4 linked regions of the Caenorhabditis elegans genome follow. The protein of the gene in region 2 interacts with the protein of the main gene of each other region in a pairwise test. Each region holds a gene or a part of one and is shown on either strand. Other genes may lie near its edges. The genes, in order: nfi-1, nhr-21, ehn-3 and lsy-2.

Region 1 (8,793 bases), 200 kb from region 2:
AGCCTATAGTAAGAAAGAAATAAAGTAGAAAATATAGAAGGAGAAATTGAAAAAAAGAAACTAATGAAAAAAGAATGAAATGAATTTACCTTGCAGTAATCGGTTTCGACCATAAGATGAGATTGGAACGACTGAACATAATTATAGAGCATTGGAAGTGTTACAACAGATGCAATTACAGCAGCAGTGGATACAACAACGGCAACAAAAGCGATGCGACGCATCTGCCGTTGCTCTTCTGTCTCTTTAACGTCCATATCTGCTTGATTGGCCGATCGGATCTTCTGCTCGTTCTCCTTCTTCTCCTTATGTAGGCGCCCCCCAAGAACTGGATAACTTGGGCGCCAAGTCCCGCCTTTCTGTGTCTTTTTGAATGAGAGAGACCGTTGTTGCGGCGCAGAGGGCCTCCGTATACAAGGACGATAACCGATTCAACCTAGGAAGAATGAGAGAAAGATACATCGAGATCCGTGTGTGTACACCTGCCATCAAATAAAGAGGTGTGAGGGACGAGTAATACTTTCATGAAAAGTTTAAAAGTTGCAATTTGCAAGTTATTCCAGAGTTCCATGAAAATCCAATCTCGATCAGAACAAGACGGTATCTGAAAAACTGAGCTTTCAAGCTGCTGATAATATGTGTTAAAATTTCTAATTGTGTAAACTTCTGAATGTCTCGAAACGACACATTTTTGTGAAATGCAATAATGCTAGTAACTTAAATTCCTCTAAAGAAATTTCAAGCGATTTTTATAGTCTTTATCCTGATTTGTTAAAATTCATACGCATAGGCTTTTGTATTTTTTTCGTGTCGAGACCGGGTACAGTAATTTTTGCCAAAATACAGTACATGGTCTCGACACGACTGAAACTTTGTAGTTACCGTATCCAGATGTTTTTCTTTCAAAAAACTTTAGTTTGCTCGTTACCAAAATTTAAATCAGAAAAACACCAAAAATTCCTAGAATAATATTAAGAAAACGCCAAAAAATTTTGTTTTGCCAATGTTTTGCCGTTGTTACGGTAGCTGCAAAGTTTCAATCGTTCCAAGACCTGGTAGTGTTTGTACAATTGCTAAATTTTGTAATAATATCTGTAAAAAAGATACCCAACTCTTCGAACTTACTGGAATCTTTTCCATCAATACATCTTCTTTTTTGTCTATCCAGTCTCTATCATTCATCTAATTGGATAAGTATGTCACTTGATTAACTGGTAAGCTGTTGTTATCATCTTCGTTTGTTTCCAGGAAGGAGACTGATAAACAAGTTTCACCCGATAAACCTATTTTCTTTTCTTCAGCTACTAACTAACTATATCATTTTTCTTTATTGATGATATGATATTCCAATTTCTTTTGAATCTATGTTGTGCTTCACGACTTGATAAAAATTCAAGATTCATTAAAATACGTTTTAAAAATTAAATAATCTGAACTACCCACACAAGAAATGCAAACATGAGGTTCAAATACGCAAAAAAAACATAAAAGGAAAACACTGGGAAACTGGAAGTGGTGATTACAATTGTGCATAGCTACGACGTTTTTTCAAAGTTTTTCAGATTTACAAGATAAAGAGGTGACGGTGAAGAAAAGAAAAGGGAAAATGTGTGGCCCCGTAAACAATTGATTTTTTTGTGGATTTTGGTTTTCAAAAGAGGTTCGGAAAAATAGATTATGACGTCACAGACGGAGAAAATGTTTTGAAGATTGAAGAAAAATGAAAATAATAAAAATAACAACTAGTTTGAATAATACTAAAGAAGGACTAGGTTTGATAACTCTAATTTTTCAATTGGTAACACGAAAGGGATAAATAAAACGAATAAAAAGATTAACAGGAATATCAAAATCATTTTTTCTCATTACGAAGAGCATGTGAAAAGTCAGTTGGCAGCTTTGGAGCATTCGGATCTTGTGGAGTATTTGAGACCGGTGCTTGATTTGCAGCTCCTAGAGATGAATTTGATGATGACGGGGAGCATGCTGGTGGAGCTCCAACGCTAACACGAATCTGGCGATGAATTACACAATTAAAAGCTTACATCTTTCGATTAATTATTTTCGTAAGGTGTTTTTCAGAATAATTATAAAAGCTGCTGATTATAAATGTTTATAAAATATCAACTTACTTGATGAAGAGGTGACATTGCATTTTGAGTTTGCTGGACGGCCAGTGCAATATTTTGAGGAACGGCCAATCCCATTGCTACACCCAACGAATTCGATCCGCTGAAGAAACTTTTTTTGGTTAGACAAGACATTGATTTTAGATTGAAATTTGAAATTAATAAAATTTTCAAGCTTTTGGCCAATTTAAAAAAAAGTATATATTTCTGGAAAGATTTTTTTAAAATTACATTTTATTTTGATACATTATTTTCAGAAAAAAAACAATATGGTTCAACTTACTTGCTTGCAGAACTATCCGGACGATGAATCGAATTACCAGGAACTAATCCACTCACAGCTCCCATTGATAATGCCGAAAAAGCATTTCCACTACTAAGCAATGGAGATCGAGAATTGGTATCAATAAGATGTTGAATGAAGCTATCGTCTGTAAAAAAAAGCAATGGGATGATAGTTCAATGTTCATAAAATCATACTTAAAGTTGTTCCGTCATTACTGTGTGCAAGTTGTCCAAGTACATTAATCAATGAATCATCTTCAAGCATTCGAAATGAAGGAGTTATACGAGGAGTTGTGATGGGTGATGGAATGATTGAATTACATCCTGACATAATTGGTTTCACTGCAACTGGAGCAATTAATTTCACTGATGAATCAACTGGTTTCGATGATAAGATTGGTGGTTGGATTTGTGAATTACAGTAGCTCGTGCTCGGTTGATTATGTTGCAGATGTTTCTCTTCGATCTTTTGGAAAATTTTGCTGAAAAGAAAAAATTGTTTAACGATGATCGGGATACGATGCCAAACCTGAAGCTTGTTGTATCTCCGCGTGCTGTTGTGAATTTTGTTGGGCTTGCCATGTATCCACTACTTTCTCTGCTGATTAGATTAGAAACAGCAGTGTGAGTCGGTGAAATATCGCTTCCTAAAGCTCCTTCATCTGAAACAAAAAAAATAAATTCAACTTTTACTAAACATATATTCTTCCAAAACTACGATACCAGGTCTCATCACGACAAATATTTATGGAATACACAAATGTTTGCGCCTTTAAAGTGTACTGTAATTTCGAACGTTTGTTTCGTAGATTTTCCATAGACCGGGTACCATATTTTTTTAGCTTTTTAATATAAAAAAGTTTCGTGTTTGAAAAATATTAGTAATTTTCGCGAGAATGAGGGTCACGTATACAAAAACAACTAACTTTTATTCATTTCCTGATTGCAATTCAAAAATTCAAATGAATTGCTCGTATGCGGATGCATTCTTTTTCTGCCAACTGGACTTTCTCGCATCGATGGTGTCGTTCGAAGTGAGCTCAATGCATTCACTATATGTTGAGCTGAATTAATATGATTTTATTCATTAAAATTATCGTGCTTACCATGAATCACATGCTCCCGATTTCTTTCATCAACAACAACGACTCCAACATCGCCATGATTTCCAGTATTCACTGTCATTCGACAAACGGGTTTTGCTGTTGAACGGAATGCACCCGGACTCCTCGCAGAATCTTGACTTTGAAAATCGGGAAGCGGTCTCACTTGCCGACTCGTTCCGGGAGCTCCTTGATTTTGTTGTGTACGAGAGAATTGGCCTGGTGCTGCCCATATGGAGCTTCCGAGTACCAATTTTTCCGTTCCACTTTCCACTATCCGCCGAACTTCGTCGTTAGTGCTGAAATAACTGTGTAAATATTTATATTAATTATTTTTTCAAGTTCTACCTGGAATTAGGAGAATCATGCGATGATATATCCCGACTTCGTTTCTCTGAAGGTCCATCGTTGGAATCCTCCGACATATCCATTTGTTGAGAATCAGATGTTCCCGCGATGGGATAAGGAAAACAATTTTGAATCGGAGGAGGTGGTAGACATAGAACAGATCTTTTTGCATTGAAAAAGTTGTTGTCGACTGCGGTTTTGTTAACCATATACGTGTTTCCCGCAGAAAGAGACTGTTGGGCAAGAGTAGCACGACCACCTGAAAATTTATTTTAAAGTTTGGAATTCTTATTGGAAATTTGCAATTTCGAGCCAATAATATGCAAAAAGGTGTGCTCAAGGAGTACTGTAATTTCAAACTCTTGTTTCTGGGGAATTTCGATTGAAATTGAATATAAATCTATGAAAAATAGAGGGAGAGGGAATTTCTAAGCAACGAGAGTTTGAAATTTTGGCACAAAAATCGCGTTTGAACAGTTTCACAAAATTTTAAAGCCCTTGACAATTTAACATATTTATAAATTAATCAAAACGATTTATCTGCGTCGCAAAATGGATATATTTTTATTTTGAATAAAATTGGATTTTTTCGCTGACAGAATGTCATGGTGAATTCTCAATAGCTTTCAATTTATTCATTGCTTATAGAGAGTTTTAGAATAATTTAATCTTACCAAAATAAGTATGGCAAGCTTTCTGTGGATCATAAGTGATAATGATTGTTTCCGCATTTCGTTCGGAATTCGTTTCCCAGACACGAGTATGAGTAGAACTTGTGCCAAGAACTGCATGAGGAGCTACAATTGTCTGTTCACCGGGCTCTTGCTTTACCATCACTGTATCAGAAAGTTCATCATTTCTCGGATAGGTCAATGTAATTTTAGTGTCAACGTCTTTCAGATAGTTTGCCATAAAAACGTCAAGACCGCGAACACTAATCGCCATATGAAAAGGATTTATGCACAGAGGGTGGACACATGCCTCGGATCGTTCGAGACGCTCGCCGTCGGTGCTCTCGAGAGGAATTCCCTGAAAAATATTAAATTTATTTGAAGTATTAGGCAATAGGATTTTTAAAAACTCACTTTAAATAAAATAATAGTAACCAGATCAAGCCTCCAAACTTTGTCAGCTTGGCGTAAGCAATCAATTCGCCGCATTTTCCCTTTCTGATCAGCAACTGATATAATACACTTGTTCGGCTCACTTCCATTGATCTAAAAAATTGGTTTCGCCTTATATTAAATCAATTATAAATATTGAAATACTTACAGCCGAAATAAACGCTTCTTTATCGTCATTTTGAATATCTTTTTTTATTTTTCCCAAAAGTCTGGAAGCCCATTTCACTTTTAATTCATCTCTATCATTCTGAAATGCAAACAATTTTCTTTATGATTTTTGTTCATATTTATTCGTATTTTACTTGTAATTCTGCTAATTTCGCGTTTTCTTCACTCGCACACATCTTCTTATCAAATTCTTTGAAGTGCCGTCGTTTTGCTGCCTGAAAACAGGGGAATGAAATTGAAAAATTAAAAATTATATTCAATAATTCCTACCTGCAGATGAAACCAATTATAGGCACTTGCTCTGACAAAAGGTAGAAGTTGTTCGACAAATGGTCCCATATCTTCCTGTGAGTAAGGACTGAAGCATTTGATACCATTGGCTTTCGGACTCACGGCTTCTGGAGAATTGAATTGATTACTCCAATCAGAAGATGGTGGAGGCATTGTCTGCTGTGCCTGTGAGTCTTGAGGTGCTTCTGATGTTGAAGCTGTTGCACCAGTGGTCGTCGAACCGCTGGCGGAGCTGACATCGATCTGAAAAGTATTTTGAGTTTATTTCTTTGTTTGATATACTTATACGAGTTTTTTTTTTGAAATTTCAAATTAATAATCAAGTTTTCTTTTTTACCTGAGATTCCATTCGTATAATTTAAAATCAAAAGTATCTACAAAAAGAGTTTATATTTTCATATATAATACTGCATATAGGAAGAGATAGCCTTTTGATGATAGTTGGTTCATAGCAACAGCAAAAATACTCCACAAATTTAAAGAGGCGCAGATAAGGAAACAAGCGAAAAGATTTTGAATGAATAGAATCACACCGCCCGTCGAGCGAATACTCGTCAAATTAATCGATATGAAGACCGGCATGTGTGTGCGAGGTAATTATTTGCAGCGAACCTGCTGCAAAATGTTTTACAACAAATAAATTACCTTGAGATGCGGCTCCATTTTATTCAAAAAATCTCCCAGAGCTGGAAAAAAATCGCAATGCTGCTGCGATCGGTGTCCTGGCTTGTGCTCAGATAATCTGCATTCTGAAACACTTAAAAATCGATATCACAAATTGACAAGCGTTAAAGAAGAAAAAAGCGGCACCGAGCGCAAAATATCATGAGAAAATAAATGATTGAAGAAGTAAAATATTTTTCGAGATTAGTTTTCTGTCGAAATAATAATAAACACTGGCAACAATTTGAATTAAATGAATTCTCGTTTAATCAATTTTATTGAGCTTATAGAAACACTTCTTCTGATTCAAATATATTTTTGGAAACTTTATAAATTTTTCTGCACATTCATCTGCTCATATTTTGCTCTTTCATAGCCAATATTAAAAATACAGGTGGTCTGGGATGCGCTGCGAATCAAACTACGGTAAATTAACTATAGAGCAAAAATGCGCAGAGGGTCGTACAAATACTAGTCCAGCGGCCATATTTCAAACGGAATTTTCCGCGCGAAATCTTGATTAACTGACAGATGACAATTAATTCTTAAAAATTAAAATGAAGATTATCGAATTTTTGAAATTTATTTATTAATTATCAACAAATAAAAAATTTAACGAAAAATCTCAAGCGATCTGTTCAGAAAAAGAGAAAACTCATAAACAAAAAAACAAAGAAGAAAGTATCGATTAAATAAAACGGCAGGTCTCGCAACGATATTGTTAACTATTGCAAAATGGTGCGCGTCTTTAAAAAAGAGTACTGTAGTCTCAAACCTCCGTTGTTGCGGAATATTTATCGGTTTTTCATAGTTTTTCTCAAGGCTTGTGCTTAAAGAAATGTTGTTTCATTGTTATAAAATTTTTAGCAAATCGTGAGAAAAACTATTAAAAATCGATAAAAATCGCACATCAGTTTAACGTTCGAAATAGCTGAAAGTTTCTTGCGAACATGTGAAAAAACAGAAATTTCGTTTTGTAAAAAAACATTTTGCAACATACAGAAAAAGATAACCTCGAAATTTATTTTATTCATTTGTTTGCTCCCTCGTTCCATAAAAAACAAAAATCATGTGACATCAGTTCTATAGCATGCTAAATACAATGCTCAAGTCGTCAGTTCAACAGTTCAAATCAAACAAGTATTAGAGTTTAATAATAACACGTGGTGTCAGGATCCCCCGTTACGCTTTGATCTACAGAAAATGCGGGATTTTTCCTAAAAAATGTGACGTCAGCACGTTCTTAACTATGAGAAATTAGTTGAAAAGGCTGCGCCTAAATTCCTGCCGTTCTCGTAGATCTTCACATGGGACATTCTGACACCATGTCTAATAACATAAAAATAACTAGAATCAAAAAGCAGATTCTTCAAATCTTGACAATGAATTAAACTTGGATGCAAGACTTGCATCTGATTGATGAACTGGATTCTTAACTGTTCTTCTTGGAGCAGGAGAAGGTTCCGGTGTATACTCTTCAACTTGTGCTTCTTCTAGAATTGCCATTCTCTTTGGTTTTGGTGGCCTATTTCTATAGGCTACAGGGTATGCTGGTGAGGTGCCACCAATATTTGAAATTTCACTTTCAGTCCCATCGAATGTCTCATCCTAAACGAAATTCTATAACTACAAGCCATACGTCACAATTTTTTGAATTGGATCTGCTCATTAAAATTTGTGATTTTTTTTTAATGCAAAAAAAAGTTATTCAACAAACAGATAAAATTGATTACAAAAATGTTTTCTGATGTAAGATTCTCCAAAAACTTAACATTTATTGACAAATAGTATTATTCTGTTTTCTACACTATTTTCTGAATAACTCAGCTCAAATTGTTTAATTGCCTTATTGACACCACCTGAACAGATTGCTCAATGGATTCATGCTGCATTTTGAGAACTTGAAAATACGTCCGTCGAGCCACAATGAATGCCAACATTTTTAGACAAATCAGGATGACACATACAGCTGAGATAATTGCACCGTATTTGATTGCTGTAGTGGGATATCAGGATCTTTTGAGCTTCAATTTGATGTTCTTACCTCTGGCTGTTTCAGGATGGGTTTCATTTGGATTCGCGTAGTTTGAGTCTTTTATGTTATGGGAAGTACGAATTCTGCTTGTTCTGAAAGTTCAATACTTATTAGTATTATATCTCTAATTGAAAGAGATACGAAGGGCCTCCCAAAGACTCTAACGACCACATTACTCCGCTAGCGACCGCATTTAGAGCCGAATAAAGCCAAATGAACAACCAAAACATTGTAACCAACTGAAATAGCTAGGAAATTAATAATAAACTATTGCAAAATATTATTACTTGATATGATAACATTGGATACGAAAAAATAGGTGATTGCTTCGATAGACACAAGTTGTATGTGATTATGGCAAATAACATAAAAAATAGAAATGCAAAGTTGAGGAATACAGGATCTGAAATTTGGAAAATGTTACAAGTATCTATAAAGCGGTGTCTTTTTTTAAAGAAATTATGTACTTTGAAATGAAGGTGTAAAAATTACTGATTGAATTTCAATGTGATATACTCAAAGTACAATCGGGTAAAATTAAATTGTACACTTATGTAATTAAAAAAACAATTTTATTCATGGAATAGACTGATATTTATGTTGTAGAGCTTCCCCAAAAATTACCTCAAATGTATTTTCCATTTGTT
Region 2 (7,245 bases):
GTTCATTAAAAAAATGTTCAATTTCAGCAATTTGCGAATTATCATTATTAATTAAGATTCATCCAGAGGCCTGACTCTCATTTCAACAGTTTTCACTTCCATCTGCTGAAGTTCATTGCAGCAATTTTGCAACCCATTTGTTAAATTTATTGCAATATCTGAAAATGCACAGAGATATATTTTGAATGCTCACCAGGTTTTTTTTCAGATTGACGTTTTTAAAATTGTTGCAACGAATTTCCAAGTATATTGCAAGATTTTGCATTAAAAAAAAAGGGTTTGAAAAGGCTTTTATGGTGTCGCATGCTTAGAAAGCTGAAAGATGATCTTAAGTTGAGTTTTCAAATAATTATCCTGGCAATATTGATTAACATTTTTGTGCTTACAGTAGTCCAATCTAATAAGTTTGCGGCGATCCGAGCTTTATGCTCTTTTCTTTAGCTCTTCACACCACTTTTTTAAAAATACCACTGAAAACGTCGTCTAATTTGCCCCAAGCATGTGCCTCCAATGCTATTATATGAATAGAGAACAATTTTTATCGGTTTTCCACGGAAAGATAAAAATGGAAAGAGTGAAGATTATGTCCTCATCAAAAAATGGAAGTCACAAAAAAATATTTAAAGATCAGCATCCAGATGCGACTACACTTCTGTAAATTTTTTACCGAATTTCCAAAAAAATCATCCCAAGAATATTGATTGAGTTTTAAAATTTTCAGAAAAGCAACATAACAAATTGGGTTTATTTTAAATAAAGATCAGATAAATTTTAAATATTCGATTTAACGTCTCTGCTTTCAAATCACACAGGTCTCAACATTAGGCTCAGAATTTGTTTTTTTCTTTCAAATAGTAGCAACTTAAAATAATTTAAAAAATCTAACTTTATAGCATATTGTGTTCTGAAAAGAGAAAACTAAACTCCTCTGAGATTTCTCAGTTTATAAGCCCTATACTTGTTCCCTGAAAACCGTGATTTGTGCCCCCTAGATTTGCATAATCTTGTTATTTGTTATTAGTCGAGAATTACCGAATTTGGTTTATCACTAACGAAAATGTGATAATCCTCAATATTAGTCCATCTTGAGTTCTTAATTTCAAAGTAGTTTACATTGAAGGTGATCTTGTGGAATTATTGTCTTTTTACATTCTACTTACAATTAGTCAAAAAAAGCTCAGAAAAGTAGAGCATGTTTTCAGATTTTCCAGATTTTCCTCCAAAACCAAATCTAAGTATTTTAACGTTATATGACACCTTCTTTTATCTTTGCAATACTTATTCAAAGATCATGCACGGGTTGATTTTTTGGTCTAAAACGTTGTTTTTCTTGTTCCAACTAACAAGACAGGATAGTTCAATCATCTATTGCTACTACATGCATAATTGATTTCCACACATTTATGGGGAAAGAGCGAGAGCCATGAAAATTGTTTTTTCCTTTTTCCTTTTTTCTTCTTCTCACGTTTCATTTTTTTCTCGATATTCTACTTCAACTTGAGCTGGAGTTGAGTAATTTTTGGAGACGACTTCTTTTTCTAAATAAGAGGAAGTTGAAAATTGACTTGAGGGCTTCCAGACGCAGCGAGTCTCGAGAAGTGTGAGAGTATTCCCTTTTTTCCAAAGATCACATTGTCCTTATATTTTAAAGGTCAACAATTAAAACGACGAGTTCATCAAACCAAACCATCGGACGAGAAATCAAAAAAAAATCCCGGTGCAAAAGATAACAACCACGTGACATTGACATGTTAGCTTAGAGTCCTTGAACTGATGTAATAATTAGCTGTTGTTCCGTCCTAAGCCAATTGGCCCCTGATAATCTTCATGACGTGTCAAAAAAGTCATCTGACTGTCCCCAAAAAAGGCGGTCTTCATTCAGAGTGCGTAAGAAAAATGATAAAATAATGTTCCAATTTGTGTCTCCAGTCGCGTTTTTTCCACACCCGCCGTCCGCCACCAGCGAGCAAAGAACATTTCGAGCGCGTGTTTCAATAGTCGTCCCTTTAATGTCTGCGTCTTTTACATTCCAGTACACTATTCATTACGGGTTTCTCTGTCTCTCATCTTCATCTCCATGTACGTGTTTGCACGATTCGGTTCCCGTATACCTTGTAGGACAGGTGTGTGTACCGTGTGAATACTGCCGTACTTATCTTCATGCTTCCTACTTTTACTTTAACACCTATTTGGTATGGTTGTCAAGTTTCAGATTAAGCAGAAAAGTTCACTACGAACATATGTAGTTCTGATTTGACTTTCTGATGACTTTCTGATGAGTTGACCTAAAATATGCACTTTCTTTTAGATTAATCTCGGAGATATACCCAGTTTAGCGAGAAGAAAGAAATTATGGAAAAATGTTGTTGGTCATGGGTCACGAAACATAATAGTTTTCAATATAATAAGATTTACATAACTAAATTTAACCCGAGTTAAAGTAATAAGTCGCCTTTTGCAGTTGGTTTAGAATTTGGGCTCTCGTCTCTGTATTGTCATCCCTAATGGGCTTTCGTTTTTACAGCTTAAAAATTAATTTTTCATGAGTTCTCCCTTAATTTGACTTTTTAATAATTTTTGAAACTACTCAGTATGTTGTATTTCTTTTAATAACAAAAGGTTATATCATTCATGGATTTGCCACCTAAAATTATGATTTTTTTTTGTTTTTTACATAGATGCAACCAGGTTTTGTATTTGGTACTTGCGTAGAACTATTATTATGAAAAGCCTGTATTTATATCTTTGTTTTTGTTGATCAGTTGAGGTAGTTTTCTTATCGGTTAGTTCAAAAAGTTAATGCGACATTTCAAATTTGTGCATATTTTGCTTCCCCCATGACCACAAATAATTTCGGCATTTGTGTAGTGTGTAGTTAGAAAAAGTGATACTGATGTTAAAATTAAATATTTCAGACTTTTCTAGTACGCAATTTTAACTAAAAAATGGTGATTAGATATTTTATACCGATTTCAAAACGTTTTTGATATGCGTAGTTCAGAATTGACTACGGATTTATCGGTTATCTCATTTTTGTTCTTCTCTCAAGTAATATTTTTTGCAGCCAAATTATTATTTTAAGGAAACTGTAAAAATGTAGGTACTTATTGTTAGAGGCTAGAACCACAATGAAAGTAAAGTATGTTTCTGTCTCAAAGATGTTATAGTCTTCAGAACCAACCTCATATGGCAAATTTAAAGCTTGAGTTTATCTACCCAAAAGGTTACCTTTTAAACATTTGAACTTTGAAATCAAACCGGATATTTGATATCATACAATCTAGTTGTTTCCGTGTGTATCAATTTTGTAGGTTGTAGTGTTCGTTAATTGAGAACCAAAATATTCATTTTCGCTTTCATTTTCCTCTTTCTTCCATCATACTTCAATAATTCAAACACGTGTAGTTTGTATGTTTGTTGATAATGTTTTTATTGCCTTTTCTCTCATTAATTACTCCTCCCGTGATATCCAACTGTTTCGTCTTACAGGTGTCCTCTTCACAGAATCAAATCGTCACAAATCATGGGCCCTAGATCAAGTAAGTGATTCCCTTTTCTCCTGCGAATTGTTCATTGCTTCCTTTTCCTATCTTCTTATGTTTTCCTCTTCTTGTTGATTTCTCTATCATATAACATCTTGACCAGACTATATCCATAACTTTATAATCTTTTAAACATACTTTAGCTAACATTGACTTATAGAAATTCAATTGTATTCAATTGATAGAAAACATGAGTTGTGGCTGTGAATAATAAACATTCCAACTTAAAATGTTTTGTTCTTCTCAAGGATTGAATACCAAACTTTAATGTTGCGTACATATCCTGGTGCTTACTAAATTTATATTTTATTCGTATTTTTCCTAATTAAGTTTTTACCAATGTAGCCTTTAATAAAGTTCAAATTAAACCAACAATTTTTCTTTTGTTTCTTTTATCGCAGATAAGCCGGTAAAAATTGGCACCAGCCATAAGCATACAAGTAACTACTTCCTTCTTTTTTCCTTGATAATCTGTTCAATGATCCTACCAACCGAACACATCTTTCATTCAGTGGCTCTTCACACCTTCCCTCCCATTTTCACTTTTTGTTCCGCACAGCCGGTTGTTTCGTTGCTCACCTCCCATTGCTCCATACTCTCACGTCCTCTCTTTTCTATTCTTTAAAGTACAATTGTGTGGAAATGGGTCTGCCACTTGGGCAGTTATGCCCATAGAAACTCCACGGGTCATCTCGACTTTCAAACCTATCTAATTTTCATGATGTCATGAATTACTTCATTTCATTTCATGTCCTCTGTTTTCATATCATTCTTTTATTTCATCCTTTTTCTCTTTTTTGTGATAATAGTTTTGCGTTCATTTTGTTCATTGGTAATTTAGTTTTGCTAATTAACATATTCTGCATCGAATTACTATCCTTATTTCTGTTTTCTGTACTCTTGTTTTTCTGGTCTTATATGACAAGATCATTGAAATAACACGCATTCCTGTCTGCCTCAACGAACTAGAAGAAAAACACATATGAGACCAGGGAGGAAATAAAAATTCTAATCAAAAGCCTAGAGGAGTTTATGACGAAGATGGAAAACATGAAAGAATAAAGAAATTAACTAGAATTTCGAAGAATTTTTTTCTGATATCTTGTCTTTCTACGTTATAATAATCTGCCAAATTCAAACTGCCAAAATGTAAGAAAAAACTATATTTTGAATATTTTAAAACAATATCTTTTGAAATCCATATTTATGCAGTTTCGCCTTTAAATAAATTTACAGTTTTTGATTCATGTATTTTTTTTTTCCTGTTATGACAATTTTGATTTTTGTAAGCAAAACATATTTCTAAATTTTAAATGATTAATATCATCTTAATCGGATTATAAGCACTGATTTCAACCTTATATTTCTATAATCACTTGCGAGATATCAAAAGATCAAAAGGTTTCACATTAGTAAAAATTTTGATAGCTATAATTAAATTGCAGGATTTGCAAGTATTCCTCGACTATAATTATTTTTACCAGCAATGAAGGGTTCCCTATCAAGTGATAGGATTAAATTAAAAACAAAAAAGTAAAAATTGTTCGTTGTTCCCCCTATTCTTCCTCTGTTTATTTCTCTTTTTCCTAGACTCCTCCGCGCGAGCGCAAAATTAATGGGAACAAACAATCGGAACAAAGTTCGTCGCAATGAGAAATGGAAGAGTTGACTGTAGTTTATGCTGCTCGGAACAGATCACAATATGAATGGACAGTAGGAAAAAATGAGCGAGACTCCTCTTTAAAAGTGTGAACAGTTCTTGCACTATTAGCAGCCGAATCATTTTTTGTACATTTCTCTATTCGTGCTGATTGCTTCTCGGCTAATCCATAGATCATACTATATCAGAGATCGCTATATTTTTGAAGAGCACAACTACTACTCTCAGAATGCACCGTCAAAGAGGTAATTGTTATAATTTATAAATTCACAAAATTTTCTAAATTTCAATTCCATGTTTTAAAAAAAGTCCACAGCACAAACTTCAAAAATTTTGAAATAAAGCTTAAGCTTCACTAGTAAGTGTCAAATGAAACTTGATACGGACCACTGCAGTTTTAAAACTTTTGAAAGTCATTTTATACTTTTTCATTTGCACTGGTGGAAAACGAACTTTTGATATCATCTTCCAGCATGTCCTTTAGTTCTTTCTCTGAATAATCTCATTATTATTTAATTTTCCTCGTCTGTGAATAGTTTTTTTTTCAAAAAAAAAACACAATTTTCCAATCATTATTATTCGTTTGAACACCTTCTGGTTTGAAATCTTTTGTTAACTTCAATGGTCACAAAATTTTTGTGACTCTTTTTCTCTAAACTCTCACTGCTCTTTCTTTCTTTGCCTTTTTGCAAGACATTTTTTACATGCCGTGAAATTTTTGTTCTTGGATTGATGTATGTTATTATTATAAAATTTAATAATAGTCGTGCTTAATGACGTAAATCATGTAGTTCCGTTTTGATTTGTTCAATGCTCAAAGGGGGATTTGAACGTGTTGAAACCAAAACTCATTGCTATAAATAAGAAGAAAAAGGCTTTGATCTTTAATTTTGATCAGAATGTTGTGGTTTTCGGGGATTGGCGCTCTACACGATAATATACGATGTGTCCCTGCTACGTGATTTTTTGAACATTTTCGGAGGAAGAAATCTAGAAGTCAGGGTTAATGGCTTTATATTTTATTCTATTCTGATGAGAATTTACAACAAATTGGTTCCTATTTTCTTGAAACATTTGTTTTTTCCAAACTATGCACTTAAAGTAACCACGTGTCAGATCGTGATTAACAAAACAGATGGTAGTGGGAGAAGGCGTCGCGACAGATCAGAAATGGAGATGATTAAAGATCGCACAGATTTTTTATATTTTTGTGATAGAGAGGTCGAAGAGATCAACTGTATGCAGTCAAAATACGCATTTTTATGACAAAAATATTGAGAACAATTCGTTTGTAAAAAATGGAAGAGATCTTTGCTTGTTTATGATGTCACATGTTGAATTGAATTTTATGAAGAGTCTAGACATTCAAAGAAAAAAGGGATTCCCCAAATGACTTCGGCCAACGTTGAATTTAGAAATAGTCATTTCCGCAATAGTGTGTATTTCAAAAGTTTCGATAAATTACCTTATTCCTTTCGATTTTATAATATGCTTCTAATCACTTTTATCAGACCACTAATTTTCAACCAAAATACAGCATGTCAGTTCAGAATTCCAATTTTCGTAAGATTAAAATCTTCTGTCCTGATGTGTCTGGGGGAGTGCCTTTGCCTGCAGATGTCACGTGGAACATTTTTTTGCGGTGCACTTTTCATTCAGACGTCAATGTTTTTTGTTGGAAGTCTGATGAATCTGCCACTACCAATTTTATACTGAGCAGCTCATTAGGTTTAAAATTTGTTCTGGTTTATGCCAATTTATTCATTCATTTTTGTTTTAATTCCTTACATTTCAATTTAATTCTAATTTTATAAATACATGCTATTATATGCTCCAGACTTTCCTCACCTGTCTGTCTTTTGCCAGGTGAACGCCCTGGAAGGTACGGGAGGTACGTCTTAGCTGGGCGTGACACACTACTAGAAATTTTATTTGTTTTTGAGAATTTTCTAGGTGAATGTTCTCTATGTTGTTCATGACATGATTAATTGTTTTATTTAGATCCCATTTGTGATCCAATCACTTGAGTTAGTTTTTGAACCC
Region 3 (7,214 bases), on a different chromosome or scaffold from region 2:
ACTTAGTGGGCGGAGCCTATAAAGCCTTGCCCATGTTATAGGCGAAGTTGGAGACCCTTCACTGTGGCCATTCTGTGGAAAATTGAACAATTAATTCTTCAAATTAGTTGGGCGCGGCTATCAAATTTTGAAAAAAAAATTGAAAAAAATTACTGTTTCAAAGTCACATGTTATACTGTAGCATTATGTGGTTGCTATTCCTGTTACTAATTTCAATTGAAATATTTTGTTCTTTTCAATTTCTGGTCATTATGAAAGATAATAGACAGACAAAACAAAAAGAAGGTCCTTCTAATCTAGAAAAATACGACAAAAAAGAGAACATTGAGCCTTGTCAGCAAAGAAGTAAGGGAGAGGCGAGAATGGGAAAATGCGATTTAGGAGAGAAGGAGAAATTATACAATTATTTCAGAAAAGAAGAAGCACAAAAAGAGTGAGACAGACACAAAATGGGGGTGCAGATGGCAAAAAACAACACCAATCTCTGTACAGGAAGAATGAGGAAATGGAACAAAGTTTTTTGTCGGCGGCGCGGGATTTCTCGAATTTTAAATGGGTATTCGGATGTAAAATGATGAGAAAGAGAAAGAAGAACGGAAATTCAATTTACGCATCCGATGAAAATAACAATTTTCAAATTTTGGTTATAGTATTAATGGGTGCCCAGACAATTTTGAGGCTAATTTTTTTATACAGTGTCATGAATTGTAGAACTTTCGTCTGAAATTTCTTTTAAAAATTTGAAAAAATTCAAAAAAACAGGCTCCGCCTTTCTTCCACTTATCTTTTTTTCGATGGATTTTTTCGACTTTTTTTGTACTTTTTTTTAAACATATTTCTGCAATGCCGTGGAGTTAACTGTATATTTTCCGCTAAATCCATTTAATGAAAAATAGTTTTTACATTTTTAAGAACAGTGTGATTACAGTAGTGGTTTTGTACACTTGTTGCGAACTAATTTAGCGTTTAAGGGAATAAAATACCTATTCTTAATTTAAAACATTTCAAAGCATATCCATTAATGCTGTGCTGCTTGGCATTTTAAGAAAAAAATGAAACCGAAAAAAAATTAAACACGGATTCATGAAAATCGATTCTCATGTCGTTTTTTTTTTTGAAAAACTCAAGCAAATTTCTACAATTTCACTCAACGAAAATTTATTAAAAAATTATATTTGTTCCAGTGACGTCATGAAGAACACTATCTAGCGCACGGCACTTTTTGAGCGGAGCCTATGGTTCCCAAGAGGTCCCGCTCCAACAACTTTGTGCAACATTTATAGACCCCGGGAAAAATTTGAATTAAGGGGTAATCCTTTTTTCATTTTTATTTTCATAATTGTGAGCGGATTGTTGGTAAAGCTGCTGTGAAATAGGCGGCTCAAATCGTTAAAGTCAAATTTTAAAAATATTTGAAAGATTTGGAGAAGAAAGTCAATATTCTACCCGCGACGTTTTTTTTGTTTGAAGAACCACTAAACATAAATATGCCCTAGCGTTAAGGAAGTCTATCAAAACTATCAATACTATAGTATACTGTAGTTACAAGGATATTGAAACAGTTAAAGATTTACATCACTAAAACTAATTTCATATCACTTTTGCAGTATCTTGTTTCAACTTAGTATTTATGATTTCTCATTTTTATTATTTAGACTGGTAAGCAGAGAGAAAAAAGCTGGGAATTAGGAAAAAGTAACAACATGAGCAGAGGAAGAAGAAGAGCAACAAGAGCATTAGACAGAATTAGTGATGATGTAGAAGGTACAAGATGAAAAATAGCAAAAAAATAAGTAGAGAATAAAATCAAAACTTTTTCATTTTTCGGTTTTTGGACTACTTTAGAAACTGTAAACAGAGGAAACAGTGGTTTTGTTGGACGTTAAAAACATTTGAATATTTCACATTTAAAATTCCGTTGCAATCAGTTTGAATTTAAAATACATTTAATTTCTAGCTATGTTGAAACTGTGAAATTTTCGGAAAATGCGAAAAAAATGTGACGGATTTTTAAATATTTTATCTAAATCTTCACCGGATAATTTTGGAAATAATACGTTTAGAGGTCGAGCATGATCCCGATTAAAATTAATTAATTGTTAACTGTTTTATGGACTATTTGAAACGTGTTCAATTTGAAAAATGGCATTCATTCTTTCCATCAAACTCATAGTTATTTTTCAGATCTGAAAAAATATCAGAGCCTATTTATCTCGATTGAAAACATTTCTGCCTTTTATAGCTTGATTTTAAGGGTTTGTTGAAACAGTGATATTTTTTTGAAAATAAATGAAAACATTTTCTTGAGTAAGACCTCTCCAGCTATCTTTGGATACTGAATAAATCAGATCTCATACACCAAAAAGCCGATAACTAAAAATATAAATATTATTTCCAGAAGTTTATCACGGAGAATCTTCGATTCCTGACATTAAAATCGAAAGCATTTTCCATTAAAAACTAATATTTTTGCACTCTTCACCTTCTTCCGGCATGTAATCCTATATTACAGACATCCAAGGTAAAAGAGAAAAAACTTGATTTCCTTTTTTCCCTTTTTCTCCAGAAACGTCTTCCAATGTCGTCTTCTTCCTGGACACATTATGCTAATTTATTCGATTTGTGCCATGGTTAATGTATTAGGAAGAAGGAAGAGCATTACGCTATGAACAAAACGCTTTTTTTCGCCACGTGATTTGCGGTTTTGCAGGAGATGGGGGATTCTATTGTTGAAACTAACAAATCCTGAAACTCATAAAATTTTAGTGAATTCATGAATCTGTAAAAATTCTGAATTCTAACAATAATGAAAAGACTTTACAGAGATAAATAAAAACCGAATGAAACATTTAAAATCAGTCAAACAAATGTTTTCTATGAAACAGGAAATTTAATTCTAAAAAAAAAAAAGGATTTTTTTACTCGTACAGTCCAAAGTACTGTAACTGTTCTTAAAATTGACCCCAATTGTAATTTAATATCAATTTGTCCACTATATTTGCTACCTTCTCTTCCAAATCATGAAAGTGACCTCTGACTATATATCACCCCAGTTTGTCACCAACCATCTGGCAAGTAGCGGCAGCCGGCTTATCTGTTATGTCGGAAGATGTGCTTCTTCTCCGACTTGTTAAGATATCTGACACCTAGGATTGTATATTTCCCCCAAATGACCTTCGACAGTACCCGAGAAGTTATAAACAATTTGTGCTCCACCCAAAGTTTGGAATAGAAAATCCTATAGTCACTTTCTGACACTCTCTGACTTTATTCCTCCCAGCTTCCAAATTACAAAATGGAAAAATGCGATATTTGTCACCAGAAGTTTTCCAATAAGGTGAGTGGAGAGTACTAAAGGTTATAGGTAGAAACTAAAGTGCCTACCAGGTTACTTATGGTTTCGTAAACTACTTTCTTGTTTGGCTCTTGAAAAACTGAGACGCAAGACTCAAATCTTTAGAAAATTTCTTTTTAATTATCAATTTACAACATTGTTCAAATCGAAAAGCAACAAAAAACAAGTTACTAAAATCGTAGAAAAATTTTGATTTCCATGTATATTTTTTCAGACAAACTTGAATCGTCATAAGGTGATGCACAGTGGAAAAAAGAAGTTTGAATGTCAGTTCTGCAGAAGACCTTTTTTTCGGAATGATCGGGTTAGTTCTTGTGGTTTTCCGATAAATTTGTATAGAGGATATTTTATTGAAGTTTCTTTATAAAGTTTAGTCGTTTTAGTACAAGCTTTATCTCTAGTGACCAAAAAAATTCACTAAGTAACCTACTTTACGAAAGTTAATTACTTGAAATTATTCCAAACGCTTACAAATAACTCGATTTTTTTGTCGAAACGTTAAAAAAAATGCTAGAAAAAAGCTTCCTAAAAGTTGACTCAATTTATCACTCGTACATCAGATTTAAAGCAGAATGAAACAATCTGTGTTATTGATTTTCAGAAATTGACACAAAAATTTTAATTATGTGTTTCATGATGTTTTTAATAATCACTGAATGCAATTTACGATTACTGGTATCTGTGATTTGCGAATCTGTTCAAAAATAAATGTTTAATGCCAAAGCACTAAAAAATTAAAAGAGAATTAGCACCCAGCATGCCAAATGATGTAGGGGAATTATTTTTCTGTGGATGTGTACTGATACGTTGGCTTTAATTTACTGTTAGCTAGAGAAAATTTAAAAGCTTTGTTTTAAATATTTTTATTGAAAACAAAGTTAAGATTGTTAAAAGTCGTTTACTTTTTCCAGATCTGACCATCAGTTTTTTATATGAAAGTTTCAGTTATGCAAGAAAAGTTGTATTTTCAAATATACTTTGAGAAAGATCGAGCTTTCTAGTAGTATAAAGCATTAAGCATTATTTCTTGAAACATTAAACAGATTAGAAAACAATCTCTTCAACTTTTAATCCAACTCAGATGAAAGAGCACATGATGACCCATATCAAGAAAGGAAATACCTTTGAATGTCCCATCACAGCGTGCAATTCAAAGTTCAACAGCTTCACGAGTTTGCAGTTTCATGTAGATTCGGAGCATATCATAAGAGGATCGTCTCCAGCTAAATGTAAATCTTGCATCAAATGGTTCAACAGTTCCCATCGTCTTCTGCTTCATTTTCATACTGCACACCTGGATCATACGGTGAGTACTTTTTTCTGTGGAAGAATTGAAGCACACACTGTTTTTATTTGGATTTTACATCAGCTACTTGCTTACGAGTAGGTTATAGCTGTGATGTGTTAAGTTTAGCCTACGTTTGATCCGATTCTTGCCGAATGTTGACTAAACTTTTCATTTGAGACTAAAAGTAAAATTTTGAAAACCGTTGGGTCTTGCAATCGAAAATACTTGAAAGCTTCAAAACATTAGAAAAATTGATCTAAAATAGAATTCACTATACTCGAACTTCTCCACATAATTGAATTGAATTTCAAAATACTTTTTCGCTATTTCTACAAAATCTCTACTAAAGTCAGACGTGCACTATGTATAGATTGGATTTTGGTAGATATATATAAATCTCCTTAGTTTTCAGAAATTCTTCTCTTTCAAACCTGCTCCAATTCTTCCAAAATCCACTACTTCAATCTTGAACCCCATCAAGAATCCAGATGATTTTGATAGAATCTTTGACTTTTTCAAAACTGAAATCGCACCACTCTTTGTAAGAAATTTGAAATTGAATTTTCAACTGGTAACATAATATTTTCAGCCGCTTCATAGCACTGTTTCACAAGCCCCATTGCCACAGTGCTCTAGATCTGTAAAATCCGCAAAAGAGTTGTCTCCAACACCATCTACGGAAATCGAAACTCCCGAAGAAGAAGAGTTGGATGGTCCAGAGAGCTGGGTATGTACCTCTGGGAAAAAACGTATTTTGTAAAAAAACAATTATTTCAGTACTGCGATTACTGTAAAATCAGATTCGATGACAAAGTGATGTGGTATTTGCACAGTGGACTCCACTCAGATGATATTCCGTTCAAATGCTCACTTTGTGGAAGCCTATGCGATGGAAAATATGATTTTGCTGCTCATCTCGTTTACGCCAATCATAACTTCTAAAATATAAAAATGTCGATTCTTTTTCAAAGTTATAGCATGGTTCAATTTATTGTTAAGTACCAGCATCAATCTTATCAATAATGTTCCTCATCTTCTGTTGGGATGTTTTAAAATACTTAACTCTGTTCTTGTGTGAATTAATTGTTACATTTGTTTCTGTTAATTGTTTTATATATTTGAAAGTTAGAAATATGATTTTCTCAATTATGGTAGTTGATTTTATTTCTGAAAACTTCAAAAGATTTACTAAAAATTATTGATATGCGAATTTTGCAAAAGTTATGCTGATTATTTTTATCTTCAGGAGAGCAGTTTTAAGGAGGAAATGCCAAGAGTTTTAGATTAAGAAATTTCAAATTTCTACCAACAGATTTTAAAACATTACTCCTGATTTTAGGACAATGAAGATTTTCGCATTTTAAAAGCCTAATTAAAAAAAAACGGCGAGATCAATTTTTCTAGTATAAAATGCTCCTCTGAAGATAATTTTCACAAAGTGTCCAATTAAAAAAGTCATCTCTAGGAGTGATAACACTTTGAATTTCCGAGATTTATTGAAAACTTTATTACATCTCCAACATTAATAATAAAACAAATTAAGAAAAAAGTATTTTACAGTTTTCTAAAGTTTGATGTATTTATAGAGTTTTGCTCTTGAAATATTATTCACAATTTTGCCTCTTTTATAAAAATATCAACAAAAAAATTCTCAAAATTCTCAAGCTAATATCCCATCTGAGACATGAAAAAAGTGATCTTAAGCACGATTCGATTGTCTCCAAACCCTTTGTTCATCATTTTCGTTCAATTATAATAGTACACATACAGTAGGAGGTAGTGGCGAAATAAGGCAATCGAGAGGAAGGATCACAAGTGTGCAAACGATGCTCTCAACTCGGGTGCTCAAATTCGCACATCTCGAGTGTCTGCGTCTCTTCATCTCGCACGCTCTTTCGGCGCTTCTCTTACCAAATACAGTGCTTGAGGTGCGAAATATAGAGAACATAGACGTCTTCTTCTTCTTGTCTTTATTTTGGGCTCCCGGGTAGCTCCTCCTATTTTCAATTGTTTCTGTTTCACTCATTGAATTTCAATAATAATAATAAGTTCCGTTTTCACCGGATCTCAAACTCTCTTCTTAAAATGAGAATTAATTTATTTTTCGTTTTTGCCGTGTTAGGTCAGCAATTTCAAGTCACTTTTACATATTTTTGGAACGAAGAACCAGTTGTCAGAGAGAGGTGAGTTTATTTTGATTAAAAATGATCAATTTTCAAATAATTTCACTAAATATCAAATTGTTGAAACTGTACATTTTGTATTTAGGTTTTTTTGAATGAGTAACATTTTTAAAAAGTTTATGCGAGTGTCACTTTTTTTCCATGTTTTCAAAGAAAATCAACGAACTTGAGAAACCCTCCTTTCAAGAGCAATTTCAAATTTTCAGTGCATCTGTGCATCCCCTACTATTTTTCAAAAATTACAATAATAATATGGATATCTTGAAAGAAAAAATTCAAACTCAAAAAATTTTCCATAATTAATTGATACAACTAAACTTTCTAGTTGATTCTTAACACAGAGCACCTGACTGCTGACACATAATAACGAAAGAAAGTTAAAGCATGT
Region 4 (8,299 bases), on a different chromosome or scaffold from region 2:
AAACCAATTAAGGAAGCGAAACCGAAATCTGGAGAAAATTGGTGGGTGAAAGGTCATAAAAGAAAAAGAACCCAATGTATTTTTTGCAGATGAAAGAGAGAATAATAGACTTGAAACACCAGCAATACATACTCCTTCGGACACTCAAAGCCTGATTTCTAAGTATCTTACTGTAATAATTTAAACTCAAAATCAAGACTAAAAGTTTCAGTGAAGAGGATGCACACTCAACTTCTGATTTGAAACCAGAGACACCGCCAGATGACAAAGTACATAAAGTGGAAAAGAAAGAGCCACCTCCAAAGAAATCATCAAACATTACTCCCATATCCATTAGTGACACTCATTTTATGGATGAGTTTCTAGAGCCGCCTAAAAAGTTGAATCCGACTTCTTCAGGGGGTTCTTTTTTCTTAGTTTCTAGCAATCTGGTTGTTGAATAATTTACTGGTAATTTCTGAAAAATCGCATGACTTTATATTACGACATGTATAGTTTTCATAATGTAACTTGTAAAAGACTTGTTTTCTTCTTTATTGCTTATATTTTCCAAAATAATTTTTTTGCGTAATTTAAGTACTTGTATTTATAATTCTTTGCTAAAAAAATAAATATGTATTATGAAAAACTGCAGAACTGTGAAAATTTAGAAACTATAATTTTTCTGAGGAAATTTATACCTTGGAAATAATATTTCAAACAATGAAATGTATTCTGGCTTTCAAAGCAAACTAAAATGAATAAAAAAAATTATGTAAGCCTTGGAAATCTGAATAATATATTTGAAATATTTTAATATGAAAATTGTAAAAAAGTGTGCATAGATTAGTAACAGTTTTTTTCTGAACATTGCTTTAAAAAATTGATATTAAAGGCTATAAAAATTTAATGGAGAAGTACCGGTTTGGACGATTTTGAACATATAGACCCAAAATGTGCTTAAATAAACGAATTTTTTAATGAAACGACTCAAAATTGTTTCAAAAGTTTTTTATGGCGGTTCAAAATTTCCAAAAATACCTTAATCAACAAAACAACATAAGGTAAATTACCAAAATTTGCAAAAAAAATGACAATAATTAAAACAAATCTACTTTGAATCACTGCGGCACGGAAAAGTAAAAAAAAAGTTGGATAATTTTTTTCGAAATTTTGAACCGTCATATAAAATTTTGTAGATTAAAAAAAAATTTAATTACAAAATTCGATCATTTAAGCACATATTCAATTTATACGTTAAAAGGCGTCCAAACCGTTACTCATCCCTAACTATGTTTATCGAACCGACTTCCCTAGGTTGAGAGATTTAGTCTCATCGTTCCACACGCACCAGGTAACTGAAAATAACATGCACTTTTAGGAAGCTAGAGCCAGGATGTCTTAATCCTTTTCGTTTTCCCCATTTGTCTCGATCCAATATAACGAAGCGGTTAAGTTCTCAAAACTTCAAAAATCTGTCGAATGAAGCAAGTGTGAGCTGCTTTTTTTCAAATAAAAGTATTGCCCTACAAATGTTAGAGGGCTCAGAACGGAAACTAGCTGGCTGTTCAGCAGATGTTCGTCAAGATGGCACCCTTCATGGTAAAAGTATCTTTCACGTTTTTTTTTCTTCGCCGAGTATCTGAGTAGAGGGAGTTTCTCAACTTGTGCTCGTTTCTCTTAATCTAATTTCCCAGAACAACTTGGCGATTGTACTTCTTTTCTGAGACGTCGAACAAGTTTTCACACTCTTGTTAGAACACTTCACTTTGAAGGAATCTTACTATAAACTTTAGGTATCCTTAAAATTTTGATACTAATTGTAAAGACTAATTTTTCGAGTTTCTGGCTTAATATATTATTTTTGAAAAAAAAACGTTTTGTTTTATTTTAGTTCACCAAAACTCCCCTTCTCAAGATTTTTCAATTAGAATTGTGAAACTTATGAACATAAACTGAACAAGACACAAATTTCTCCTCAGGTTTAAAAAAACATTTGGAAAAAATTTGTTATTTTTGGTAAATTAATTTATATAACACTACTTATTGGTATTTTTATAAATAGTATAAATGCTGATAGGTTTCACAAAATGTCAATCTTTATTTGTTTTGTTGTGTTTGTTAACAAACTTGCTTTGTAGTCAATAAATTATCAATAAATATATAAATCTTATTAAATTTAATCTAAAGCTTTAAAATTCAAGAGATCTCTAACTTTTTAATTTTGTATTAAACTACTATTAACCGTTTTCACACTTTTTTTTCGAAATTAATATACACTTATTTTATTTATTTTTCAATTTCATTAACCCGAAAACATTTAATTTTATAATTCAGAATGATGAATTTACACCATCCGCAGCACCAGTCCAATTTCCATGAACAACACACGCCGTTTGCTGCTCCGATTCCAAATGGACACCACAACAACCACGTCTGCCTCCACAACAACAACAACAACAACAACTCCCAATATACTTGGAGTTACACGGTGAGCCAGCGTGGATGCGTGCGAGCAGCAGGCAAGATGCACATCTGCTCTTCGTCTGGGGCTTACGGCGTTGCACGAATATCGAATAGTGTTCATAGCGAATAGATGCGATTTTCTGAGTCCTGATCGATTTTCATTCAAATTTCCAATTTCAAATTTCAAGGTTTTATTTTTTCATTTAACTTTTTTCAATTTGCCAAAATCGTTGAAGTCTTTTGCTGGGTTTTGTTCAGTTCCAAAAGCAGCTGTGACAATATTATACATGTCTTTTATGTTAGGAAAAATATTATTGATCATGTATAATTTGATTGACTTTTACTATTCCAAGCACTAACTTCTATTTATAATTAAATCTTAATTTTACTTTCAATAAAACATTTCTGATGCAAATTATTTTTAAGACTTGCCATAGCCCAAAAATTAGCAACCAATTTCTCAATTCTCGGCCACCTGAGATTATGAAAACGCATCTGCTTATTTTTGCACCTGTTTTGTGTTTTCGACCAAACCATGACTAAAACTAAAATAATTTTTTTCATAAAATTGTATTTTATTTAGAAAAAAAAGACAATTTTAAAAATTCCGAAAAATTGCAATGAAAATGTTTTAATTTGCACTTTATAATTTTGAAAAAAAAATTGTAAAAAATGACGATTATTACGAAATAATATAAAAATACAGTTTAATTTTTTATATCTAATTTTCTAAACACTCGCAATACACAAAAAACTCATTATTTTCTAAATTCTACACTTGCTGAGTTATCAGAAACGATGTAAAAACCACGAACAGCAAGCGACGGTGGTGACCTCTGTCCTCTCGCTCACTATCCTTGTTGTTTGTTGCGCGCCTGCGTCTCGTTTTCTCGTTGCGCTGCGGCCGCGTCGCGTCCCCTCCGAGTGGTCGCATTTCTTACCGTATCGTTCTCATACCATAACCCTTTCTGCACTTGGCGGCAAGGTGAATAGTTTGAATTCGACGCTTCTTTCGCAATATCTAGCAGTCTCGAGCTGTTTTTAAGCTGTCTGAGGCAAATTTTGTCATGCTAACCAGAAGAAATGCTAAGCAGGTAACTAGATATCATTTCAAAAAAAATTTCTAAAATTTTTTGAAATCTCTTGAAACCCATGTTTTCATTTTTATTTCGCTTCTGTACTTTAACCTTTCCTTTTATAAACTCCTTTCAAATTTCAATTTATCGAATCTTTTATAAATTCCCTACTTTTTTAGACGTTCTCTACTTTCAGAGTCAACGGAATTCTGCGGATCAGTCCCTCTCTGAATTCAACAGTTCCAGTATGACTCACGGGTCGAATCAGTCAGTTTATCACCACAATCAACACATGGATGACTCCGAAATGATGATGGATGAGCAGGATTATTCTCAGGTACTCAAAAAAATTCTGAAACCATTTCAGGGGCATCATAATCAATTTCAGTATCAAATGGGGTTTCCTGAAGAAGATGAGATGGTGGAAGGAATGATGACCCCTCGAGCTGTGCACCAGTGTAATGTTTGCAACAAAATATTTGTTTCCTATAAAGGTAATTTTTTGAAAAATACGGTAGCTTTGTCTAACTCTGATTTTGTTTTCAGGTCTCCAGCAGCATGCAGTGATACACACAGATCAGAAGCCTTTCCGATGTGATATTTGTTCAAAATCATTTAGGTTTAAGTCGAACTTGTTTGAGCATCGTTCAGTCCATACCGGCTTCACTCCTCACGCCTGTCCATATTGTGGAAAAACTTGTCGGTTAGTGGTTTTTTTAAACAACATTCGCTGTGCTCTTTCAAATGTACAGTAATAAAAATGTGGCGGGTTGCGAAAACGACCGTTTCCCCTTAATTCTCATTCTCTCACAGTCGACTCTCCTCTGCTAATGCGCAGTACGGTGTGTACAGTGTACGGGCCGAGAAACGGTAGAGAAAAAGAGACGGACGAGAGACACCGTAATGCCATAGGCGACACTGTAGAACAATCGATAAAACGAAGAGAAATAGTGTTAGAATGGTGAAAAAGGCGTAGATAAGATGCATGCCGTACTCATTTCAAAACGGCACTCGTGACAGTAATCTAAATGTTGCGGGTAGAAAACACAAAAATATAATCAACAAAAATTATTTAGGCGATACGAGAAATAACAAACAAATTTTTTAAATTTTTTCAGACTGAAAGGCAACCTCAAGAAGCATCTTCGCACACACGTCACGACGAAGGAAGAGCTGGAAGCTGCCTGGAGGCCGTTTGCCAGGTTTGATCTTAACAAAAACGGAACGCCAGTATTGGCAAAATCTCGGTTCAGCAACCGTCGGCCGCCTGCTGACATCCCTGACGACGCCATCGTACTTCGTGGAGCCGGAGGACCGTACTACACGCCGCCGCCTCGTCCGAAGAAGAAGTAAGCAGACATCCAGCATGCACAATTAAAATGTGAGATTACCGAATGTTTTTTTTCAGGAAGCTTGGACTCGGAGAACCAGAGCACTGGGTGGACAAGTTGAGAAGAGGAGATCTTCTGCCACAAGTTGAGCTTGAGGACAAGATCAGACGTCTCGAAGACACTATCTTCAACAACATGTCTCTTGAGCGTTGGGGCAACCTTTTCGAGATTGCAAAGTCCATTGCATTCGAGACGTGAGTTTATTTATCCTTGAACTGAAAAGAAATCGGAGTGGAAAATGCCGTTTGAGCACATGAATTCTCAGAATTACGGTACATATTATATACATACCTGCTCTCCGTGCGTTTGAGAAAGATTTGACATCAATTCAAATTTTTTGCAACAGTTTCGCTACGAAATTTCGTCAAATTTTGATTGAATTATTATCTTAAAAGAGAGCGTACTTTATAATTTGTTTTAAAATGGCTGGAAGATTGTTGAAAGCATAGAAAGCATCAAAAAGTGAATGTAGGACTGAAAGTGAGTATAAGTATAATATCTGAAAAGCGCTCGGTGTGCGGCAAATTTGCCGAATTTGCCGAATTCATCGAATTCCGTAAATTTCAAAAATGTAGACTTGCCGAATCTGCCGAGCCCGGCAAATACTGAAATTTGCCGCACACATGAAACAATTTTTATAAAAATTTTGTACAAAACTAATGGTTTTGAACAGAAACCTAATGAAAGTAAACATAACATCGTGTTTCTTTTATTTTTTATTGAAGAAATCCACACGCGCATTAGGCAAAATTCGAACAAAAACCAGTAAACGTAGTTTATTTTTTAAATCAATTTTGGCCCTCTTTGAGCTCGAAAAATATTGCGATTTACTGAGTATGACAACCATGGCAAATTTGCCGAATTTGCCGCACACCCATGGTGCGATTCATTTCCTAATATATGCCTGGGTTTGTATACTTATTGAATTTTTTTGAACCAACTGAGTTGTAAGCTCCCAAAATCGAGCAGTGCATTACTAATAGAACTAATAGAACTATTATAATAGAAGAGAACACATTACACAGTTTAAATTAAAATTTTCATTAAACCTACCTAATTTCAGCCATGATTGTCCAGTGTGCAAGTCTCAATTCATGACCAGAATGGATTGTGTCAGCCATCACACACTCGAACACGAAAATCATCGGGAGGGTCTTGAATTTTTCTGCGAAGTGAGTTCTATAACGTTGTAATTTGAGTGGTTTTCTGTCTGTGGGATGATTGAAAATTTGTTATTATTGTTGGATTTACGATACAATATATATTTTTTCAGAAATGCTATAGACCATTTGCTGACGAGGCCAGCTACAATCAGCACATGAGCTACCACACGCGAGTTAGCAGTTTGATTGAAACTGGAGAAATTGTTGTACGTTTACAAAAGTTAATATTTGAACAAATAACTAAAGCTCACTTTTTTTTCAGCCTCAGCCAGCAGATCCGGAAATTTTGGTACCAACGAATGACGAGTTTCAAATGCTGTTTGGCGCAAACTTTGGCCAGCAGATGATGGAACCACAGTTGATTTGAAATTGATTATTATTATTGTTGCTTAGATAGAGTAATTCAGCTTGCGCACTTACCCATTTTTGACGCCTTCGATGACATTTCTTTCAACTTCTCTTATTCACCTTTTTCAAAACGGGGTACTTTTTTCTTCTTGTTTTTTTGGTTCTTTTCTTACCTCGGGGATTAGTATTTTTTGAAGATTTCCTACCCATTGACAGACAGACTTGCTCTTTCAATCATTTTTTTTTCCAAAATTGTAAGCATGCCGTTTATCATTGTTGGCATTGATCTACACCAGCGATATCTTGCTCCTTATTTCCATTTGTAATCCGTTGTTTTTTATTATTATAACCTAATGTATAACCTATTGAGGAGTTTGTATAGTCGTTGTAGTAGTCTTTGTTTGTTTTACCTTTTTTTCCCGTTGCCTGATTTCGTCTATTTTTATATATTCTTCTCTTTTGAGCCGATTGTATAGGTGTTCGATTAATATGAAGTGTCATAATTCAATTTATGGAGTGAATAATAAAATTTTGATACGTTTGAAACAAAATGGAATGAATAGCCTGGTATCCAGAATATGCAAATGCAAAAACTTGTTGAAGCGGTAGCAAGGATCAGATAATACAAATGAAAGTGGTTTGAAGTGAAGATTGGGAAGGAGTAGGACAACTTCCGGAACATACCGATCAGAGTTTTAGATAACACATGTTGTATATAAGACGGTAGTGGGGTACAACATTCATCAACCAAGTTTTTCTCCATTGTTTGTTTCGAGCAATGAGTTACAAAACTATGGAGTCGTCTTCGTCGACTGTCTCATTTGCAGTCATTCTTTCTGGAAGTGCTTTCTTGATTATGGTAACTGCTACTCCTGTCCTTTTCTATACTATGGGAGACATGACTGCTCAACTGGAAACTGCAAAAACTGGTTTTGAAGAGACTTCGAATGTGCTCTGGAAGGAGCTTGTTACGAATGAAAGCCACCGCAGAGTTGCAAGACAAACATGTAAGTGCAGATGTTAACGTTATCTGAAAATATTTGACAAATGAAAATTTAGACAAGGAAGGAGGAGCTGCTGGTGAGGGATCTCCTGCCGCTACAGCACCCGAAGCCAGCCCTGTGAAAATTGACGACTCTTGCCCAGCAGGACCAAAGGGTGAATCAGGATCAGCCGGAGAGCCAGGAACCGACGGAACCGATGGAACTCCAGGAAAAGATGGAGCTGATGGAAGCAATGAGCAGACTGCAAGCCAAGCTGGAGATCTTTGCACTGCTTGCCCAGCAGGACCACCAGGTGTTGCTGGATACAAAGGAAAACGTGGACCACGTGGTGAGAAGGGAGATAAAGGAGCTCCAGGAAACGCAGGCCGCGATGGTGCACCAGGAGATGATGGACCAGAAGGAGACCATGGGCATCCAGGACCAATGGGACCAGCAGGAGAGAAAGGAACCAGTGGAGCTGACGGAAAAGGATTTGCTAAAGGAGCACCAGGACCAAAAGGACCGACTGGAATGGATGGTCTTGCAGGAGACGAGGGTCTTCCAGGAGAGCGTGGAGAGGATGGTTCAGCTGGAGCACAGGGAGAGACTGGACCACAAGGACCACAAGGAGAGAAGGGACCAGATGGATTCCCAGGTCTTCCAGGATCCGCCGGAGCTTCTGGAGAAGATGCTGCCTATTGCCCATGCCCATCAAGAAAAGGAGACATCGCTGGAGGAGGAGGTGGCGGATACGCTGCAGCCCCAGGAACTGAATTTGAAGGATCCCCAGTTGTGAGTTTTACTGCAATTCTTGGATTTCAATAAAATAAAAGTACTTTCAGGAATCCGATCCAGCTAAGCTCTCTGCCGATATTCCAGCTCCATCGCCGATT

The links.
Region 1: the proteins of nhr-21 (region 2) and nfi-1 interact in a two-hybrid assay, tested with the Caenorhabditis elegans proteins (one large-scale study listed by BioGRID).
Region 3: the proteins of nhr-21 (region 2) and ehn-3 interact in a two-hybrid assay, tested with the Caenorhabditis elegans proteins (one large-scale study listed by BioGRID).
Region 4: the proteins of nhr-21 (region 2) and lsy-2 interact in a two-hybrid assay, tested with the Caenorhabditis elegans proteins (one large-scale study listed by BioGRID).

The regions. Positions count from the first base shown.
Region 1 is NC_003280.10:7,535,598-7,544,390, reverse strand, and holds nfi-1 (Nuclear factor I family protein), read right to left. Parts: upstream 6,112-8,793; coding exon 6,094-6,111; intron 5,692-6,093; coding exon 5,428-5,691; intron 5,373-5,427; coding exon 5,292-5,372; intron 5,237-5,291; coding exon 5,138-5,236; intron 5,083-5,137; coding exon 4,951-5,082; intron 4,895-4,950; coding exon 4,540-4,894; intron 4,375-4,539; exon of another isoform or gene 4,354-4,374; intron 4,125-4,353; coding exon 3,866-4,124; intron 3,817-3,865; coding exon 3,521-3,816; intron 3,479-3,520; coding exon 3,341-3,478; intron 3,077-3,340; coding exon 2,944-3,076; intron 2,897-2,943; coding exon 2,610-2,896; intron 2,561-2,609; coding exon 2,413-2,560; intron 2,233-2,412; coding exon 2,133-2,232; intron 2,015-2,132; coding exon 1,853-2,014; downstream 1-1,852. Other genes in the region: rol-8 (Cuticle collagen 6), read right to left, coding at 1-3, 90-257; ZK1290.13 (MARVEL domain-containing protein), read right to left, coding at 7,465-7,719, 7,971-8,107, 8,156-8,238, 8,288-8,385, 8,434-8,549. UniProt on the Caenorhabditis elegans protein: Probable transcription factor which recognizes and binds the palindromic sequence 5'-TTGGCANNNTGCCAA-3' present in promoters. Plays a role in locomotion, pharyngeal pumping, egg-laying, and life span.
Region 2 is NC_003280.10:7,335,740-7,342,984, forward strand, and holds the start of nhr-21 (NR LBD domain-containing protein), read left to right. Parts: upstream 1-3,489; 5' UTR 3,490-3,523; coding exon 3,524-3,539; intron 3,540-7,245.
Region 3 is NC_003282.8:5,415,277-5,422,490, reverse strand, and holds ehn-3 (Zinc finger protein ehn-3), read left to right. Parts: upstream 1-3,268; 5' UTR 3,269-3,295; coding exon 3,296-3,337; intron 3,338-3,569; coding exon 3,570-3,659; intron 3,660-4,028; exon of another isoform or gene 4,029-4,049; intron 4,050-4,322; exon of another isoform or gene 4,323-4,343; intron 4,344-4,436; coding exon 4,437-4,661; intron 4,662-5,004; exon of another isoform or gene 5,005-5,025; intron 5,026-5,055; coding exon 5,056-5,184; intron 5,185-5,232; coding exon 5,233-5,370; intron 5,371-5,420; coding exon 5,421-5,585; 3' UTR 5,586-5,792; downstream 5,793-7,214. Other genes in the region: spp-7 (Saposin B-type domain-containing protein), read left to right, coding at 6,729-6,826. UniProt on the Caenorhabditis elegans protein: Together with the zinc finger protein ztf-16, plays a role in gonadogenesis, specifically in somatic gonad precursor cell development. This is possibly by regulating tra-1 gene expression.
Region 4 is NC_003284.9:2,086,288-2,094,586, forward strand, and holds lsy-2 (Zinc finger protein lsy-2), read left to right. Parts: upstream 1-3,416; 5' UTR 3,417-3,512; coding exon 3,513-3,539; intron 3,540-3,717; coding exon 3,718-3,858; intron 3,859-3,909; coding exon 3,910-4,015; intron 4,016-4,067; coding exon 4,068-4,224; intron 4,225-4,639; coding exon 4,640-4,723; intron 4,724-4,774; coding exon 4,775-4,870; intron 4,871-4,929; coding exon 4,930-5,106; intron 5,107-5,975; coding exon 5,976-6,084; intron 6,085-6,185; coding exon 6,186-6,281; intron 6,282-6,337; coding exon 6,338-6,442; 3' UTR 6,443-6,966; downstream 6,967-8,299. Other genes in the region: F49H12.2 (uncharacterized protein), read left to right, coding at 1-41, 90-162, 212-443; col-164 (Nematode cuticle collagen N-terminal domain-containing protein), read left to right, coding at 7,202-7,430, 7,483-8,198, 8,249-8,299. UniProt on the Caenorhabditis elegans protein: Involved in transcriptional regulation. Required to specify left-right asymmetry of the ASE gustatory neurons, probably acting upstream of microRNA lsy-6.